Linked DNA regions of Caenorhabditis elegans. The protein of the gene in region 1 purifies or fractionates together with the protein of each later gene. This does not show direct contact. Each region holds a gene or a part of one and is shown on either strand. Other genes may lie near its edges. The genes, in order: pcmd-1, Y71H2AR.2 and F45E1.5.

Evidence for each region.
Region 2: the proteins of pcmd-1 (region 1) and Y71H2AR.2 fractionate together in Caenorhabditis elegans (co-fractionation; one large-scale study listed by BioGRID). This does not show direct contact.
Region 3: the proteins of pcmd-1 (region 1) and F45E1.5 fractionate together in Caenorhabditis elegans (co-fractionation; one large-scale study listed by BioGRID). This does not show direct contact.

Annotation. Positions count from the first base shown.
Region 1 is NC_003279.8:11,605,287-11,612,958, reverse strand, and holds the start of pcmd-1 (PeriCentriolar MatriX Deficient), read left to right. Parts: upstream 1-1,644; 5' UTR 1,645-1,657; coding exon 1,658-1,750; intron 1,751-1,802; coding exon 1,803-2,066; intron 2,067-2,116; coding exon 2,117-2,206; intron 2,207-2,307; coding exon 2,308-2,447; intron 2,448-2,741; coding exon 2,742-2,881; intron 2,882-3,513; exon of another isoform or gene 3,514-3,644; intron 3,645-5,108; coding exon 5,109-5,309; intron 5,310-5,947; coding exon 5,948-6,052; intron 6,053-6,322; coding exon 6,323-6,521; intron 6,522-7,672. Other genes in the region: dhhc-7 (Palmitoyltransferase), read right to left, coding at 843-956, 1,141-1,253.
Region 2 is NC_003281.10:2,838,549-2,842,978, forward strand, and holds Y71H2AR.2 (Peptidase C1A papain C-terminal domain-containing protein), read right to left. Parts: upstream 2,380-4,430; coding exon 2,309-2,379; intron 2,232-2,308; coding exon 1,836-2,231; intron 1,405-1,835; coding exon 1,226-1,404; intron 861-1,225; coding exon 607-860; 3' UTR 572-606; downstream 1-571. Other genes in the region: H34I24.2 (CUB domain-containing protein), read left to right, coding at 3,623-3,660, 3,881-4,212.
Region 3 is NC_003284.9:7,975,039-7,981,287, reverse strand, and holds F45E1.5 (Rhodanese domain-containing protein), read right to left. Parts: upstream 4,589-6,249; coding exon 4,334-4,588; intron 3,111-4,333; coding exon 2,760-3,110; intron 2,715-2,759; coding exon 2,502-2,714; intron 2,455-2,501; coding exon 2,410-2,454; intron 2,361-2,409; coding exon 2,097-2,360; intron 1,654-2,096; coding exon 1,606-1,653; intron 1,561-1,605; coding exon 1,484-1,560; intron 1,433-1,483; coding exon 1,063-1,432; 3' UTR 553-1,062; downstream 1-552.

The DNA.
Region 1 (7,672 bases):
AAAATAACGCGCGAAAATCGATAAACACAGCTGAAACTGGGGCTACAGTAACCCGGGGTGGGTCTCGCCACGATTGGGGGTACTGTAGCACTTGTTTCAGCTGTGTTTATCGATTTTTCGGCTATTTTAGCAGAATATTAGATTTATTTTGAGTTGAAACATTTTTTTTAAGAATTCGGAGAAAAATGCGATTACACAGCTCAAACCGGAGTTACAGTAACCCGCGGTGGGTCTCACCACGATTAGGGGTACTGTAGCACTTGTTTCAGCTGTGTCAGAGCTAGAAAATAGCAATTTTTACACTTCTTTTTAACAAAAAGTTACCAGTTGGCACGTTATTTTAATGAAAACCTTTTTTTTTTAATTTCGAAAAAAATTTGCTTTTATGTCTATTTTTAGTAAAAGTTTTGTTTTTTTTTCTTGAAAATTCCACTAATGTCATCGATTTTAGTGAAAAATCGATAAACACAGCTGAAACTGGGGCTACAGTAACCCGGGGTGGGTCTCGCCACGATTGTAGGTACTGTAGCACTTGTTTCAGCTGTGTTTATCCATTTTCGGCTATTTCAGCTGAAAAATAGATTTTTTTTTGAGTTAAAAACCAAAAATTTTCGAGAAAAAATGCAATTACACAGTGGAAACTAGGGCTACAGTAACCCGAGGGTACTGTAGCACTTGTTTCAGCTGTGTCGGGACACAATATCCCTTAAAATTTCCATTTCTGAGCCAGAAAACCCGAGATTTTGATCATTTTCAGGACAAAAACCTTCGGAAAATCGAAATTTCCCATTTTTTTCCCAGTTTTCCGTCAAAATTCCCTCTTTTCGTGGTAAGACCCTCACTTTGACGAGGAAATCGGCACAGTTCCCGGGTCGGACAACATTGCTCGTGTGTGAGCTACAATCGTCGTTGCCAGCAGGCAATTGAAGACGGCTCCGTGGAAAACTGTCCAAATTCTGGAAAAAATAGCGATTTTTTGTGGAAAATTAGCGTTTTTAGCCAAAAATCAGTGACTTTTGGGGTGAATTTCGCATTTTTATTTCAATTTAATTGTGCCATGATGCTCAAACCCAGAAAAAAATGGGGGGAAATATTGGTGAAAATCCGAAAATTCGTCAATTTTTCTCCACAAAAACCTACGAGTGCCCGAAAGTTGGCAGCAAAAGCCAAATAAGAATCACATAATCCGCATATGCAATCAGTAGATAGATCATGCACACACAAACGAGCCCGCACGGATCCCATTTGAACATTTTCCGGCTCTATTCTCGGTTTAATGTGGCATTTCTGCAAAATTTCCAGATTAGTTGGGGGAAAATGTTATTAAATGTTGAAAAATCGATAATTTGAAATTCATTTTATTGATTTTTATCACAAAATTCGTTGGGTTACTGATAAAAATCAATAAACAACGATGAAAATCCGTGGAAATGATTGATAAATTAAAGGCGCATGGATTTATACGAGTGGTGGGTCTCGCAACGACGACCCCTTGGCACGTTGCCAAGTGCCGCCAAACGGCGGTTTTTTGATTTTAATTTCCGTTTTTTGTGGTTTTTCGTGGATTTTCTTTGATTTTCTTCGATTTTTCTATTCAAAAATGATTTTAAATAAAATTTCGACACTTAAAATCAATATTTTCAGCAAAAAATCCACTATGGAGGTGGAATACGACGAGGGATTCGACTCCAGTTCGCTGAAGAATAATCCCGCCTCCCTCCAGCGGGATTATCCGACTTTTATGGAATCGGTATATTGATTTTCCTTATTTTCCAGCAAAAACTCTCAATTATATCATTTAGAATTGCTCGCAAATGTCCGTAAGACAGGAATTCCTGCCAATATTCCCACAAAGACTGGATTTATGTCAGATTTCGCCGAAAAAGAGCGAAAAAAAGTCGAAAAAGAAGAAGATTCCGAGCCCGATTAAGAAGACGAATGACACTAAATTGTCAATATTAAGCGAAAAATCGGAAATTCGCTCGGAAAAACACAAAAATAAGTGTAAAAGTGCGGATTTGGACGCAATGGAGAAGAATTTTAAAGAATTACTCGAAAATTTCAGTGTACGGGGAGAAAAATGGCGTTTTTCAACCCAAAAATTTCGATTTTTCAGAAAAATGCCGCTCTCAGCAACAGTTTAAGAGATGAAGCTTCATCGATCATAAGCTCATCGGCTTCTTCACAAAAATCTCTGTTTAAAGAGGTAAAATATGTGTTTTTTTGTTGAAAATTCACTTAAAAATCGTATTTTTTGCCTAAAAACCCCTTTTTTTTTTCATAAAAAAAAAAGATTTTTCTCTTCAGATCAACCTTGCCAAGAAGCTCTCCGCGAGTTACTCGAAAAAACCCGAAAAAACTGGCGAAAAATCGAAAAATTGCACGTTTTCGGATAGTACCTTCCGTTTGAGCAGCCAAAATGACTCGGACAGTGATGATACGAGGCCGTAAGTGAAGAAAAATCGAATTTTACACGAGAAACTATTGAAAAATGCGAAAATTTATCGATTTTCCATACAAAAAAGTTGAAATCCGAGTTTTTGAACCCAAAAAATGTGAAAATTGATTAATTTTCCACTCAAAATCTGAATTTTTTCGTATTTTCACCGGAAAAGCTCCAGAAAAATTAAATTTTCAGTTTAAAATCGCTAAAAACCTTTAAAAAAATCGATAAAAAGCTATTTTTTTGCAAAATTGCTTTAGAAAACGTGAAAATCGCTGCTGAAAATGTATTTTTCCAGGCCTTCAAGTCAAGCTTCACTGGCCTTCGAAGTGGAACAAGCTCGAAATATGATGATGTCATCGGCTAAAATTCCGAAGCCTCTGAGCTCATCGACACCGCGCAAAGAACGACGAACAACTGGAACGAACAGCGATTCCAGTAATATTTTCGGCCGAAAATTCTGAAAATTGGGCTTTTTGCTCAGAAATTGCCGAAAAATCGGAGAAAACTCGAATTTTTAAGCTTAAAATTACAATTTTGAAGCCAAAATCCGTGAAAATCATCTGGAAATTTTGGCATTTTTATCCGGAAATTTCCGAAAAATCGTTGAAAAAAGCAAATTTAATGTTTTTGCCTTGAAATATCCGAAAAATAAAAAATAAAACTTGAATTTTCAGATAAAATTTTGGCAAATCTAAAAATTTTCAAGCCAAAATGTGGAAATTTTGACCTTTTTACCCGGAAAGTTCCGGAAAACAGTGAAAATTTTGAGTTTTCTCCAAAAAATTCTGAAAAAAGGAGCATTTTAAAGCTAAAACCTGGAAATTTGACCTTTTTACCTTGAAATTACCCTAAAATCGTAGAAAAAAGGCAAAATCTATAGAAAATCGCCGAAAAACCCATAGAAAACTTGAATTTCGAGCCGAAACTTGGATATAAATATGTTTTACGAGATTCTCAACGGAGCGCACTTGCTTCCAACGAAAAAAAAAACCCTAAAAACTTTGGATTTTCAGTATTTTATCAGTAGAGCGCATTTCAAAAATCCCTTTATTTCGTGGGTCCCGTCTAAGCTTCAGTCTTTAATTTAAGTTCACACTGTGAGGATTACGGTAGCTACAGTAGTAGCTACAGTAACCCTCAATTCAAATAAGATCAGTTTGTAGTAAGTTGTGTATTTCGCAGAGAACATCATTAGCCACGAGACGGGCGGTGTGGAAGGAAACTGAACACAGGCGGTGAGGTCTTGATGCCTGTGTTACTAGCCACTAGGCCACGGTGTAGGGGGTCTCTAGGTACATGCTATGCAGGTTTATGTGTTAGATGGAAAGGGTTGACAGAGTGTAATGGGGGAATTCACTGAGTAGCGACTTGTGTGACCTCAGTGTGTCTTTTTCAATGGTCTCGACACGGAAATCGATTTTTTTTTCCCAAAAAAATCAAAGTAACGAATTGTGGCATCTGTGTAGCTTTGCCCAATGAAAAGTATGAATAAATGTTGAGTTCCGCGTGAAAATCGCATTTTTCATACTTTTCATGTGCAAAAGAGCACATTTGTCACCGGAGACGGGGAACCTCTGCCCAAATTTTCATTTTAATAGTTAATTTAGTGAGATTTTTGTGAAATTATCTGAAGAGTGATAAAAATTTGGTCCAAAACTGGCAAATTTCACGAATTAGCGTTTTTGGTTAGAATTTTTGCGGAATTGTGAGCATTTTTTTTAAAGAAAAATGCAACTATTTTTGCTCGGAAAATCGAGTTTTCGGAAATTGCACTGCTATGTGGCATCTGTGTATCTTACTACAGCAATCCGTGGGTCTTGACACGAAAATCGGAAAAAAAAAATCAGAAAAACGACTTGTGACATCTGTGTTGCTTTGCCCAATGAAGAGTATGAATAAATGTTGAGTTATTCTGTGAAAATCGCGTTTTTCATACTTTTCATGTGCAAAAGTGCTCATTTGTCACCGGAGACGGGGAACCGCTGCCCAAATTTTCATTTTTTGTATCAAATTTTGATAAATTGGCAGAAAAGTGCTGAAACTTTGGTTCAAAACTAGCAAATTTCACGAATTAGCGTTTTTTTTTTTGCTAATGCTGTAAAATTTTGATAATTTTAAAAATTCATGTATATTTTTTAGAAACTGCTAGTTTTTTTTTTCGAAATTACAGGGAATCAGCTTTCAAGTTTTTTAGTCCCAATCAAAAAAGCGAAAATTTAAGCCCCATATTGATCTATTTTGATGAAAATCGGTTTTTTGAGCTCCGCGAGCCCTGAAAATGCTCGAAATTTGATTTTCACCGAAACAGGCCGATATGGCTTAAGATTTCGGATTTTTGCGGGGAATTCAAATTTTTTAGTCCCAATCAGCAAAAATCGGTAGGAAAATTGCATTTTTCGCAAGAAAATTACAAAAATTTAAGATTCTCTCGAAAAATTGATAAAAACCCAAATTTTCCAGCAATCTCCGTCATTTCGGCTGAAAAACGATATCTAAAAAAAAATTCGCGACTTGTGGCATCTGTGTAGCTTTGCCCAATGAAAATTATGAATAAATGTTGAGTTCCACGTGAAAATCGCATTTTTCATACTTTTCATGTGCAAAAGAGCACATTTGTCACCGGAGACGGGGAACCGCTGCCCAAATTTTCATTTATTTTCAGTTCGTCTCTCCGAATCACAGCTCGTGGAGCTCTACTCGAATCGAGAGCCGCGAAATTCGAAATCTGACATCACAATTCGACAATTTTTCGACGAGGAGGATGACGCTGATAAAACGATTGTCGAGCAGGTTTTCAAGGATTATCACAGGAGTTTGGAGAAGGAAACTCCGATTATGAGAAATTCGGCGACGGATACATCGGGTAGGGAGAGGAACTACAGTAATCCATGGGTCTTGGCACGAAAATCTGGAAAAAATGGAGAAAAACAACTAGAAAACGTTTATTTTCAAGTTTTTAGAATAATCGTTTTTTTTTATCCAGAACAAATCTTAAATAAAAATTAGGCAGGAACTACAGTAATCCATGGGTCTTGGCACGAAAATCTGGAAAAAATGGAGAAAAAAAAATTAAGAAACATTGATATTCAAGGTTTTTTTGAAAAATAATCGATTGAAAAAAGATTTTTCATGTTTTTCACATTTTTTTTTAATAAAAAAGTAATCCTGAAATATTTTCAAATAAAAATTAGGTAGGAACTACAGTAACCCAAGGGTCTTGTCGCGAAAGTTTGCAAAAATTTCAAAATAACGACTTGTGGCATCTGTGTAGCTTTGCTCAATGAAAAGTATGAATAAATGTTGAGTTTTTCGTGAAAATCGCATTTTTCATACTCTTCATGGGTAAAAATGCACATTTGTCACCGGAGACGGGGAACCTCTGCCCAAATTTTCATTTTTTCGAATAAATGTGGCTAATTACACTAATCCCCTCCTTTTACACCGTCCTACCCCCATAATTATAGGCTCTCGGAGCAATTAAATGCTCGGTTTTTTTTCCAGGATCTCTACATATTGAACGAAATCGTGACGGACGGTCGGCTTCGATGAGCAATCTGATTTCGAATAGTGGAAATCGTACGAATTTGACGGTTTTTGATGGATTTGGTAGGTTTTTTGGAGCTGAAAATGCTGGAAAATTGAGATTTTTCATTAAAAAATTCATTTTTCAGATGGAAATGCTGGAAAATTGATATTTTTTGTGGAAAAAATAAGTTTTTAATCGAAAAATGTAAAAATTTCGATATTTTTCATTTAAAAAAATTAATTTTTTTTTTGCAGAAAAAACTGAAAATAGATATAATTTTTTATATTTAGATATAAAATAATTTTTTCAGCTGAAAATGCTAAAAATTCCCCAAAATTCCATTTTTCCAGCTCCCGGAGCCCTCCGTCACTCGATATCCACCGTACAAATGAGCCCAACCAAAAAAAAATTCGACGAATTTCGAATTGAGCACCAAGAACCTGGCATTTTGCCAAGATTTGTCATCAAAACGTCACTGCGGCCGATTTTTTCGCCACCACTCGATATTGATGAGATTTGTGGAAAAGGACTGAGAAAAGATGCGGAAAGGTGCGAAATTCGTGCTGAAAATCGACAAAAATTGGAGTTTTTGGCTTAAAATCCGGAAATTTGTGCTCAAAATTTCGAAAAATAGTCAAAAAAAAATTCAAATTTGGAAAAATACGTTATTTTTACCCAAAAAATTGATTTTCAAGCATTTTTTCGCTTTAAAAACTTGAAAAGTGCGTTTTATGCGAGAAAAATCGATAAATTGCCGTAAAAAAGTCATTGTTGGCTTTTTAGACTGAAAAATCTAAAAATTGGGTCACAAATTTGGGAATTTCGACAAAACTACAAAAAAAATCCACTAAAAAGCGATAATTGGCTCAAAAATCGCAAAAAAAAAATGGAGAAAATGTCTGAAAATATTCGATTTCCACAATTTTGCACTGAAAATTCGAAAATTTACTAAAACTCGGTGATTGGCTCAAAAATTCACAGCTCAAAGCCAAAAAATGGGGTGCTTGGACCCAAAAATTCGAATTTTCCGCCAAAAATCCGTAATTTTAAGCTCCATATTTTTAAGCCCTATTGGTGAAAATCGATTTTTCGAGCTCCGTGAGCCCTGAAAATGCTCGAAATTCGATTTACACCGAAACAGGCCGATATGGGGCTTAAAATTCCGGATTTTTGGCGGAAAATTCGAATTTTTGGGTCCCAACACCCCATTTTTACAATTTTTTGGCTTTGAGCTGTGAATTTTGGAGCCCATCACCGAGTTTTATTAAATTTTCAAATTTTTAGTGCAAAATTGTGGAAATCGAATATTTTGAGACATTTTCTCCATTTTTTTGCTATTTTTGAGCCAATTATCAATTTCTTAGCGGATTTTTTGATAGTTTTGTTGAAATTTCCGAATTTTTGAGCCAATTTTTTGATTTTTCAGTCTGAAAAAGGCAAAAATGGCAATTTTTCGATTTTTCTCGCAAAAAAACGCACTTTTCATGTTTTTAAAGCGAAAAAATGCTTGAAAATCAATTTTTCGGGTAAAAAATAACGTATTTTCCAAAATTTGAACTTTTTGACAATTTTTTGAAATTTTGAGCACAAATTTTCGGATTTTTTAGTCCCAATCAGCGAAAATCGGGGAAAAATTGCATTTTTTGGCAAGAAAAATACGAAAATTTGCTAAAATTCTCTCGAAAAATCGATAAAAACCC
Region 2 (4,430 bases), on another chromosome or scaffold:
GCTGCCAAGAACCTAGGAAGACATCTGGTGTCAGGCTGTCTCATCACTGTTTGATCCACAATAAAATGCGACATTTTTTGTACGTGAGCACGTTCTTAACCATGCAAAATCATTTGAGAACTCTACTCCCGCATTTTTTGTAGATGGGAGTAGATCAAAACGTAGATGAAACCGTAATGGGACATTATGACACCACATGAGAAGACGAAATTTTTTATCCGCGCCAAGTACATAAATGGTAAAGTTTAAAAAATATTGGGTGTTCTCCGGAAAAACATTCTGAAAAAAGTTAATTTGAGATATAAATTTTTAAAATTATGAAAACTAAATGATTGGTTATGGTACATCTTGAAAAGTACGGTCAAACTTATGCCTGAAAATTCAGATTTTATGATTGAACTGGAAGCTACTGGTACTTAAAAAATTTGGTATATAAATTCAGAAAGAGAAAAAGAAAATAAAAAACAGCAAAAATTTGAAACAAGTACCCGAAGAAAAATTCTGAAAAATTTAATTTTAAGTGAGATCTATATCAAAATATAAAGGAAGTCAGAAGCCCGCGCTGTAGATAAATATTCATTCTTATCGTAATAACAATTCTCAAAATTATACAAACTCGGTAAGAACTGCAATTGTAGTTGCCATTGCACATGCATTAACATCTCTTGCCAACTTCATATATCCCTGCTCTCCCCACGATGTCCCGAATGAGCCCTTCACAATCCAATATTTTTGCTCTCCCTCGATACCGTACCCAACGATTACCATTGATCGGATTTCATGTGTACTTGTACATTCTTCAATGGATGGGTTGTAGATTCCGATTTTATAATCGTAGAGGGATGGAGGGGCGCGCATCGCTGAAAATATTTGTATTGCTATTAAAGGTGGAGTAGCGCCAGTGGGGAATATGTTAAAAACCACTCCTTTGGTCCCAAAATGGCCAAATATCGTGATAAAACTTTTCAAAAAATTTTTGAAAATTTTTTATTAACTGTCAAAAAGTGGCAATTACTCAATTTTTGCCACTCATAATTTTGGAAGTCGACCAAAAAAAAAATTTTTTACTAAAATTTTTTAAAGAGTTTTATTATGATATTCGGTAGTTTTGGATCATTATAAGTACATTTAGACCAAATCCCAATTGGCGCTACTCTAACTTTAAATGATCTATCAAGAAATTTACTTTTTGCACAATTATGACCAATAAAAAAAAAAAACTCACTGAAAAACGCGGGTCCATAATTTGTGACATAAACTTTCCCCAGTACTTCATTACCCTCTGCCACAACTCCTTTTTTTAAATGAATTTTTGATTTAGTTGAGTCAAAGGTACACTTTTCATTTGTCTTGTCAACATATGGATAGTCTGCTTCTGTTTCTATGCCATGAGTGGCGAGGTATCTGAAATTTTGAATATTTAGCGCTAAAGGTTTTCATCTGACAAAATTGTTAAATAATTAGGTTCCGATTCACATTTATGGGTGTTTTAAACGACAAATGCTACCTATCATTATTGCATAAGCATTTATTATCAATTGATCACATTTTTACCACTCTATTAACTTCAAAGATTTAGGTATTTGAAGACAAGGTCTAATGACCTTCAAATTTGCGTGTCTCAAAAACGGATAGACTAATTAATAAACGTAATTAATAAACGAAATGTTAATCATGTTTGAAATAAAGAACAGTTTGCTGGTTGGAAATTTCTAGACCTTTCCGGCATCGAGGTACACGAGCTTGTATTTCTAAAACGACAGAGCCACTATAAAAATTTTCGCTTTTCAATTGCTCATCACGGTCTAAACCTTAAATCAACCCAAAACAATTACCCAATAGCATTCATCGCAAATTGCTCCTCACATCCCTTATATCCCTGATCATTACAATCAATAAGCTGCTGCTCAGAAAATGACAAAAGTGTTCCATTTGTAGCCTTGGCGTACATTGACTCAATACTGGAAGTTATCGCAAATGCGTGGGATGCATTGCATTTTCCCTGATCTTTAACTGGTCCAACAATTCCTTTCTCTCTCCAATCAAGAAATTCCTCAGTGGTTCGGTCCATGTGAATTGGGGTTTCCCATTGAAATCTTGTTGGGAGTGATTCAGAGGTTCTCTGCTGAACTAAAGAACCAATGATGTAGAATGTCAACGCAGTTAGAGTGAAGAGGATAATGGAATTGAAGGTGCTTCTCGAGTTTGCTGGCTTTTCGAACAAGTCTTCTCTGGAATAATTTACTTTCGATGTTAGGCGTAGGCTTAGGCTTAGGCCTTCTTCGTTTGTATAAAAAGAAAGACTTACCCCATTGCAACGAAGACTTTTTGCTTCTTCGCCTCATCTGCTTTCGAGCTTAATTTAGTAGCACTGACCATTGAGAATTTGTGATTTTCTTGCTATTTTCATTTAACTTTTATATATCCACTTATTGCTAACGATATTTTATTCCTCATGATGAGTCAGTCAAGTTCAAAAGTTATCAGCAATAGAAAACAAAAAAAAACTTGTTTTCAGTGAGAGATTTAGAGAATTGAAGTGGTAGTAAAGTAATTTCCTTCGGTTCTATTTGTTGTGTGATTTGTTTTTGATATCTATGTAGACATGTAGGCATGTAGGCATGTAGACAGGTAGGCATTTTTTGGAGTTTGGATTCAGTAGCTCGCATAACCGCCAAGTTTAAGCAGAGATACCTTTAGAGATATCAAACCTTTTAGAGTATAAATTGAGGTTAAATAAAACTAGGGCTGTACAACCGGACGTCCGGTCGTCCGGTTGGGGGTAGCTATCCACGACGGCCGACAATTTCCGAGTTTCACCACCCACTATAAAATTGCTGATTAAGTATAGTGAGTGGCGAAACTCGGAAATTGTCGGCCGCCGTGGAAACCTACCCCAAAACCGGACGCGGTGCGTCCGGTGGTGTCAAAATCGGACGACCGGACGCCGATTTGTACAGCCCTAAATAAAACTGACCATTTATATGCGAAATTAGTAGATTTTCCAAACTTTGAAAATTCATATCTGACTTCAAATTAAATGTTTCAAAAATTCCCGTAGCCATTTTGTCGCAAATTTTGTGTTCTTTCAGAATTTGAAAGCGGCATTCCAACAACTTCCGAAATTGCCGAGTTCAAGCAGGAAATGTGGATTTTTGAGCACATTTTGAGTTAATTTGGAATAGTCAATTTAAATGCAAAAATAGTAGATTTTTCAAACTTTGAAAATTCATATCTGACTTCAGACTAAATTTTTCGAAAATTCCCGTAGCCATTTTTTCGCAAATTTTGCGTTTTTTCAGAATTTAAAACGACAATTTGTAGGCATGTAGGCATGTTTGGTTCATTTACAGTCAAATTTGACCACGTTTCAGTCAATTTCTCTTCCATTTTTCACATTTAAACTCCCCTTCCTGTTTAAAATTGCCGTCGTAAAAACGGTATAAATCATTCTTATCACCAGCAAATATATCAGTAGTTGTGCATTATGACGGTAGTACATTTTTGGATGGGGAGCAAACATAAATCATTCAATTCGACGCCCTTTTTAAGCTGATAAGGCAAATTTCTAAATTTTCGGCAGTATCACTTCTGTTTCTACACAGGCTTCTTGTCGCTAGAAATGAAATTCCGGTTTTTGGCGTTATGTGTTGGGTTACTGTAAGTTTTGGGCAAAATTGTTTGATTTTTTTCGTATTTTTTCCAGAAACTGGGGTTTTTTAGAAGAAGCATCGAGTTTTTTCAAATTTTTAGCCGACTTTTTAAAATGGAAAATATTGATTTTTCCAAGAAATTGACGATTTTTCTTCCAAAATTATTAATTTTCTTGGAAAAGGTATTGATTTTTCTCGAAACAATAATTTTTCCAAATTTTTTTCAGATTAGCCACATTGGTTAGTGGCAATGGAGACCCGGGAGCCTCAAATTCTTCATCGGTAGCAACAACCGTCGCAGCTTCTCCCTCAACAGACGCTTCCTCATCAGCAGCACCATCCCAGGCTCCAGCTTCTCCAACTTCCGTTGACCCATCTGCCACTACTCAAGCAGCCGCATCCTCTGGAGCACCCGTATCTACAGTATCCCCATCGTCCGGAGCAACCACTGCCGAGCCATCAAGCTCTTCGGCGGCTCCAGTGACCTCTGGAGGGTCTACTGTATCAGCTGGACCAACTACACCAGCACCGCTTCCAAATGTGACGTACAGTCTTTTGCGTGAGTTGTATTAGATAGCTATGTGAAGTAGGCACGAGATCCACTGTAGGTAGCTTGGTAGGCAGTCGTAGGCTGCCTGGTAGGCAGTCGTAGGTAGGTTAAACAGCGCAGAAGACGGGAAGGCACGCGTAGGTAGAAAGACTATCAGACACCGAGTGCCCACGTGAAATGCAAAGACAACTTTAGCAGTACATAGAATGGCATGTAGGCCGCCTTGA
Region 3 (6,249 bases), on another chromosome or scaffold:
AAAATCAGGAATTGAAATCTTTGAAGATACCGAAAGAGGCTAACAACTATAAAGCGCGCCAACAAATTCCGACTCAGACATAATTCCTTCAAATAGATATTTTTGAACGTTTTTTGAAAGTTGATTCTGAATTTTTAGAACTGGACCAGGTTACTTTTATCTTGAAAACATGCCATGTTTTTGGTGGAATAGCAAAATCTGGTAGTTTACTCTTTTAAGCAAAAAAATGCCCCAAAAAGTTAAAGCTTCGCAACGGGATGTTTTGAAATTTTGTCAAATGTTTTTTTTTCGGAATTTTAGCTTTTTATTCATTCCGCAATAGGTTTTTCGGTAATTAAACACGTTTGTTTTTTGTTCAGTTGTTGTGTTCTTTGAATAAATTTTCAGAAAAATCCTTCGAAACTAACGAAACTGAAAAGGGAGTGCTAGTACTAAAACATTTTGAACTACGCCATTTTAACATCTAATTTTATAGCGGGCAACATCAAGAAGTTTACTGTCTCTTGGATAGTAGGACTTTAACACTTGAGAAAATCAAATCAGTTTTCGAAAAACTGTTTTAAAGATCGTACGCGCGGAACTGTTAACATTTGAGGAATCATTGATACGATTGTGAACGGGAACAAATTTAAATTACAATCAGATGAATTTGAAGGTTCAGTTATTGCAGACAGAAGTATAAATAAAAGGACAAACGTTCCGAAAATGTATGTAGAAATATGAATAAATAATCGGCGAATTATGCAATTCAAAATGTAAAACAACCAAGATTTAACTCAGTTGTCAGGAACATCAACTTTTTACTGCAAAAGAAAAATAAGAGGTTCACTAATGTAGTAAAACGTGAAAAAGAGTTACTAAAATCACAGTATGCAATTTGAACTTTTGTTGGAAGCATTTCTGTGTGTCAATTCATTGCATTGCTCGGTAAATATACTGATTCTCAGAAGTAACAACACAGAAAAACAAAGAGATGGGAAAATAAAGAGGTTTGTAGAAAATGAGATAGGAATGTTAACAACGATATTTTACAAATAACACAACAATTATTTCGAATTATTCCTAGTTCGATTTAATTCTGAAGAAAGTCTTCACTTTTTTCCAAGTTGACATGCTAGCTACTTGCTGTTTCTTTACATTTTGTCTCTTCAACTCTTCACATTGTTGCCGTTTCAGTTCTTTCTGCTCTTTTTGTTCTTCACGTTGCTTCTGCTTCAATTCTTTCTCATATTTTGATTTTTCTGCGGCAACCTTGTACCGATACTCTCTGATTTGCATTAACCAGCAAACACTGTCAAGAGTGTTAACAGGCTCCATGTCTGGTTCTTCAATTTCTAATCGCGATTTTCCATCGTCAATCCAGTCAGCTGAATTGATTGGAAGCCCAGGCTTGAATCGGACAATTGCTTGGTAAATGTACATTGGTACTGTGCTAAAATTAGAAACTTCTATAAGCATACGATCTTTTTTTAGAAGGGCTCACTCTGCATAAATAGCATAAACGATGAAATATTTTGCTGTGTTTTTGATGGAATTGAGAGCTTCAACTGAACGTGATATCTGTGAAAAAAAAAATATTGTGTTTGTTAAAAATGTTGAACTCACTGCGTCAATGGTGTGATTGGCCATCTCGTAATCATCATGGTATAATGGCTGAAATAAAAATTATGTATATTTGGATTACGCGAATTGATTTTGCAACTGGTTAATAAAAATAAATTATTGGCCGGAAAAGTAATGTCTTTTAGTCTTGTGTTCTTACAACTTTACGAATTATTCAGTGAACCCAATAACAATTCTGAGAACATTATCGAAAAAGGTTCCGCGGTCAGAAATTTGCTTAAATATGCTATGTACATTAATAACATTATTACTATACTGTATTTCACCATGATCGTCACAATAAATCAGAGGCCACAGTCTTATTAGCAAATTTAATCAAATGCATTTGTAACCCATCGATTTGAAACAATGCGGCACAATTTCTCAACCAACATTAGAAACTTGAAATTCCTATTGGAAAAATCTAAAATTAGTTTAGAAGTTGAGGCGAACTGTCGACAAATGCAGTTGTATTAAATGTTTGTCCAATTTACCGGTTGTCCGAGCACTTCCTCTGATCTGCGTCTCAAATCAATAACTTGAAGACCGTGAGGCATGAGGTGCTGATTGATGATTTGAATGAATTCCATTGAACATTCTGGTAGTTCAACAATATCGCGCAAGTATCCTTTGAATGGGACACCGATAACGGGTTGATGACTGTGAACAACTGGAATCATGTTGATTCTTAGAGTGTTACTGATTTTTTTTCTTGCGACCTCCGCTATACCAAAACGTTTCGTCTCTCCGGGAAGATACTGAATTTCATGAAATAAGTTAATTAAACTGTTTAAAAATAAAACTTACTCCTCCGTTTCCAATCAAATAAGCTTCTTCCAGTGTCAGGGATTCCTAGAAAAAAAAAATTCAAAACTTATTTAAATTCACTAATTGCTTACATGTTCTCTTCGATAGGCATACCATCGACGATTTCGTTCATGCGAAATGATATTGAACATCTGCATAAAAATTGAATCATCCGAATTCTCCAATGATACGCTATTAATATCTGTTTTGACATTGAGCCATTGGTTCAAACGAAAGCTTCCTTGTGTTTTCATGATTTCTTGCTCATTTGTTTGATGGATCATTATAAACGGTTTTTTAGTAGGCTGAAATTTAATTGAAATGTAGGTCATTTGCAAAGAGCTAGTTACATGAACTGGTGTCACTTTGAATTCCTCACTTGATGCCGGGTTATCCGACGTCTTCACTATACATGCTTCTTGAGTTGCTTCGTGAATAACTTTGCTCAGGATAACAGTTTCTTCATCATCAATTCCCGATGTACTAACCAAAGGTGGTAGTGGACCGGAGAAAACTTTCCATGTTTGTTTTTGCCATCTCTCAGCCTTGTCAGCGCCTGGATGTTTAGGAGGTTCTGGTTCAAGGTTGGTTTCTTTCTTTTCTTTGCGAAAAAACTGAACACAACCGTGTTTAGGTCCCTTACGCTTCCAGACTACATTTTTATCAGCTGTCTTATTGTCCTTGTCATCCCCAAGCATGCTCTGTAATTTAACTAATTTGCAATAAAACTTCTGCGCAGATGAGAAAAGTACTATCTTTGTGTTAGTTTGGGTCTATAATATTTCTAACGACAAAGTATGGTTAAGTCGGCATTCAGGTAAGTATACATTTTCTGTGCGAAACTAGAGAAAATACAAATGATGGATTAATTCATGCGATCTGTGAAATTTTTTAATTGTTCTTTAAATTAAATGAAGAGGCTAACTATTGCATTTAAAACAGACAGAATTTTATTTTGATTTTACACTTATTCATATTGTTTTATCACAGAATAGTGAATAGCGCATTCTCAAAGTAAGCTACACCACATTCAATATCCACCTGAAATCAATTTGCACGTTTCCCAACTTTTTCTTCACTAGTAATGCATTGATGTACACAATTACTAACTCAATGTAATAACTCTTGCATGAACCCACTAGCTGGTTGAAATTACTACTTGCAAAGATTACTACATGCGATATTCTTTTCACTCGTTTTCTAAGAAACCTATAATCCAAAGACCAACTTGCCAGACTCATATTTCTAGTAAGTATTAAGATCTCGTGTTCCCATAAAACGACACTTTAAGTCTAGACGTCTGCTGTTTGCACACCAGTGTTCTTTACTTTTTCTATGTTTTACTCACGACTACACTTGTCCAGGTGTTGTTTTAAAAGCCGACTAAAAAAGTTTAGAAAGTTTACAGCCTGGACTAGATTTGAAAAAAATGTTTTGAACTACCGTATTTCTTCTATTAGTATGGCTTTAGCAATACTATTTTTCGAAGGTATTCCCGCTTGCAATACTGTTAGGGAGTATAATAGGAAGAGCAATACTGTTTTTCAGAACATTTTTATTAGTTTTTTATTTGGAAAAACTCCAATTTTTTTTTGATAATTTAGAACATTCAATTGTAATTGAAACAGAAAGGCTTAATAACTTCAATCTTATAGAAATTTTGTCAAAAATTTTTGCAAAATAGGCAAAAATGTTGTTAAAATCTTAAAATTAGAAAGGAGGATTTGTACCAGAAATAAAAGTAGATGCGAGACTATTAGGGAGTGCAACACTAATAGGTAGTTCAATATTAATTTTTGGAGGGTTTTCAAAGTGTAATACTAAAAAGAAGTGCAAGTCTAAAAGGAAGGCCATACTATAGAAGAAATACGGTATTAGAAAAACATATTGAACATTAGTTAAGCTGCAAAATAATTGCACTTACTTCGATTTCATAATCTTCCAATGTTTTGGGTGGTGCTGGATTTGTTTGTGAAGGACGATCATCCCAATCGAATTTCAGCTTATCAACAAATTGGACGTGCTTCAGTCCTCGGCCTTCTGATTGAGCCTTCAACGAGTCGGTGTCATGTTCCGATTCATCAGGAAGATTTGAAATAACTTCTCTGCGTTTTTGAGAAGCATCTAAGAAACAAGGCTTGTTTTCTTGTCCCTCTGGTTTCGAACTTTTAGAACCCATCTGAATACATGATATTGTAAGATTGTTTGTCAAAATAGTTGAGAAAAAGACTGCAAAGAGAAACACTGAGGAAAGAGTTTGTCGTGAAAAATAACATCACGTAGTACAGCTCCGCCCATTTTTTTGAGTGGAACAAAAATCTGGAAAAATTTAAAGAAATGATGCGGGACATGTTTTTAAAATGATATTCCAAAAATACATAATATTTAACATTAGCATAGATAGGACATTTTGAATAATTTTGAACACGTCTGTGTCCTACAATATTCAATCAAAAAATATGATCATAGTTAAAATTAAAACTCTGACTTTTTTGAGACTTTTTTTGGTCAACTTTCAAGATTATGATAGGTGAGTAATTGTCACTTTCAACTGCAAATAAAAAAATCTTTAAAAATTGTCTATTTTTTGTTATGTTATTCGGTCACTAATTAGACTGATTATAAACATTTCTCCTTCATATTGCTTCAAGCAATACACTATAAGTGGAATTACAAAATAACATGTTTATCAATTGTTATACACTAAAAAATGCATACGCAAAATAGAAGCTTAAAATAATTGTATTCTTTACTCAAATATAAATATAAATGGGTTATCTCTTGATCCCACTTTTATGACTGTTTTGTTGCTAGTTTTAAGGAAAACCGCTAAACTGTTGCAATATTAAACTCGACCAAAAGAAAAAGTTTCAAGACGTCATAAACGATTGTCAAGAACAGTTATAGAAACGTTATCATATAAATAAAAGTAGTAAACACTTTGTAAACTATTTTATCAGTTGAAAATGCTTGTTGCCGTTTGTCTGAACTAGATTAATGGTCATTCTCCTCACTAATTTTAAAATCAAGGTAACAAGAGGTTTAAATATGAAACTAACAATTATAGCTAAACTAGTAAGCCAAAGGAAAAAATAACCAAGTAGTCTAACATATTGAGAATAAAAATCAAAAGATCAAAACTTTCAAGGAAAAGTGTAATGTGCTCAGCAATGTCATGTCATCCTTAAGCTAAATTGAAAATAGAACAAAACATTAGATGACGGTGAATGAGAATTTCCAGTTCACCGAACACGTACTGAAATATTTATCTTTCATGTGTCTATAGAAACATCTGTCAAGTTGTAACTAGTTTATAGTCTCTGACCTAGCTGTATTAGCACAATAGAGCACTGAAAACATTTGAAAACCCAGAGTCGGGCTTTCTTTTCAAATATGATCATATTTTCAAGAGAAATTGGTCTAGACAAGTGGCAAGTTTGCGGCAAAGCCGTCTATAACCAACAAGAAATTAGAAAAACACACAATCCCGAAAATTATATTTTAGACAATATTAAAACACATTTTGATACAAAAAATTGGTACGTTTGTAATGTATACGTTAATACAGAAACAGGTACAAAATTGAGGAATGAGAAACATCACGGAGAAAGTGAAACGAAGTGTAAAAACAAAAAAATTGAAGTTATAGTTAGAGCAAGTTTTTTGGTGTATGAGGTCTAATTTCAACAAAAACTAATGAAAGTATGTTAACATTACATATATTTTATCTAGAACTTTTTAATTGAAATTCAAAACGAAAAAAAAAGGAATAACCCTTAGGCGACTTGGCTAAACTTCATTGCAACATTGCTCAATGCAACTCGGATTTATATCTAGGTT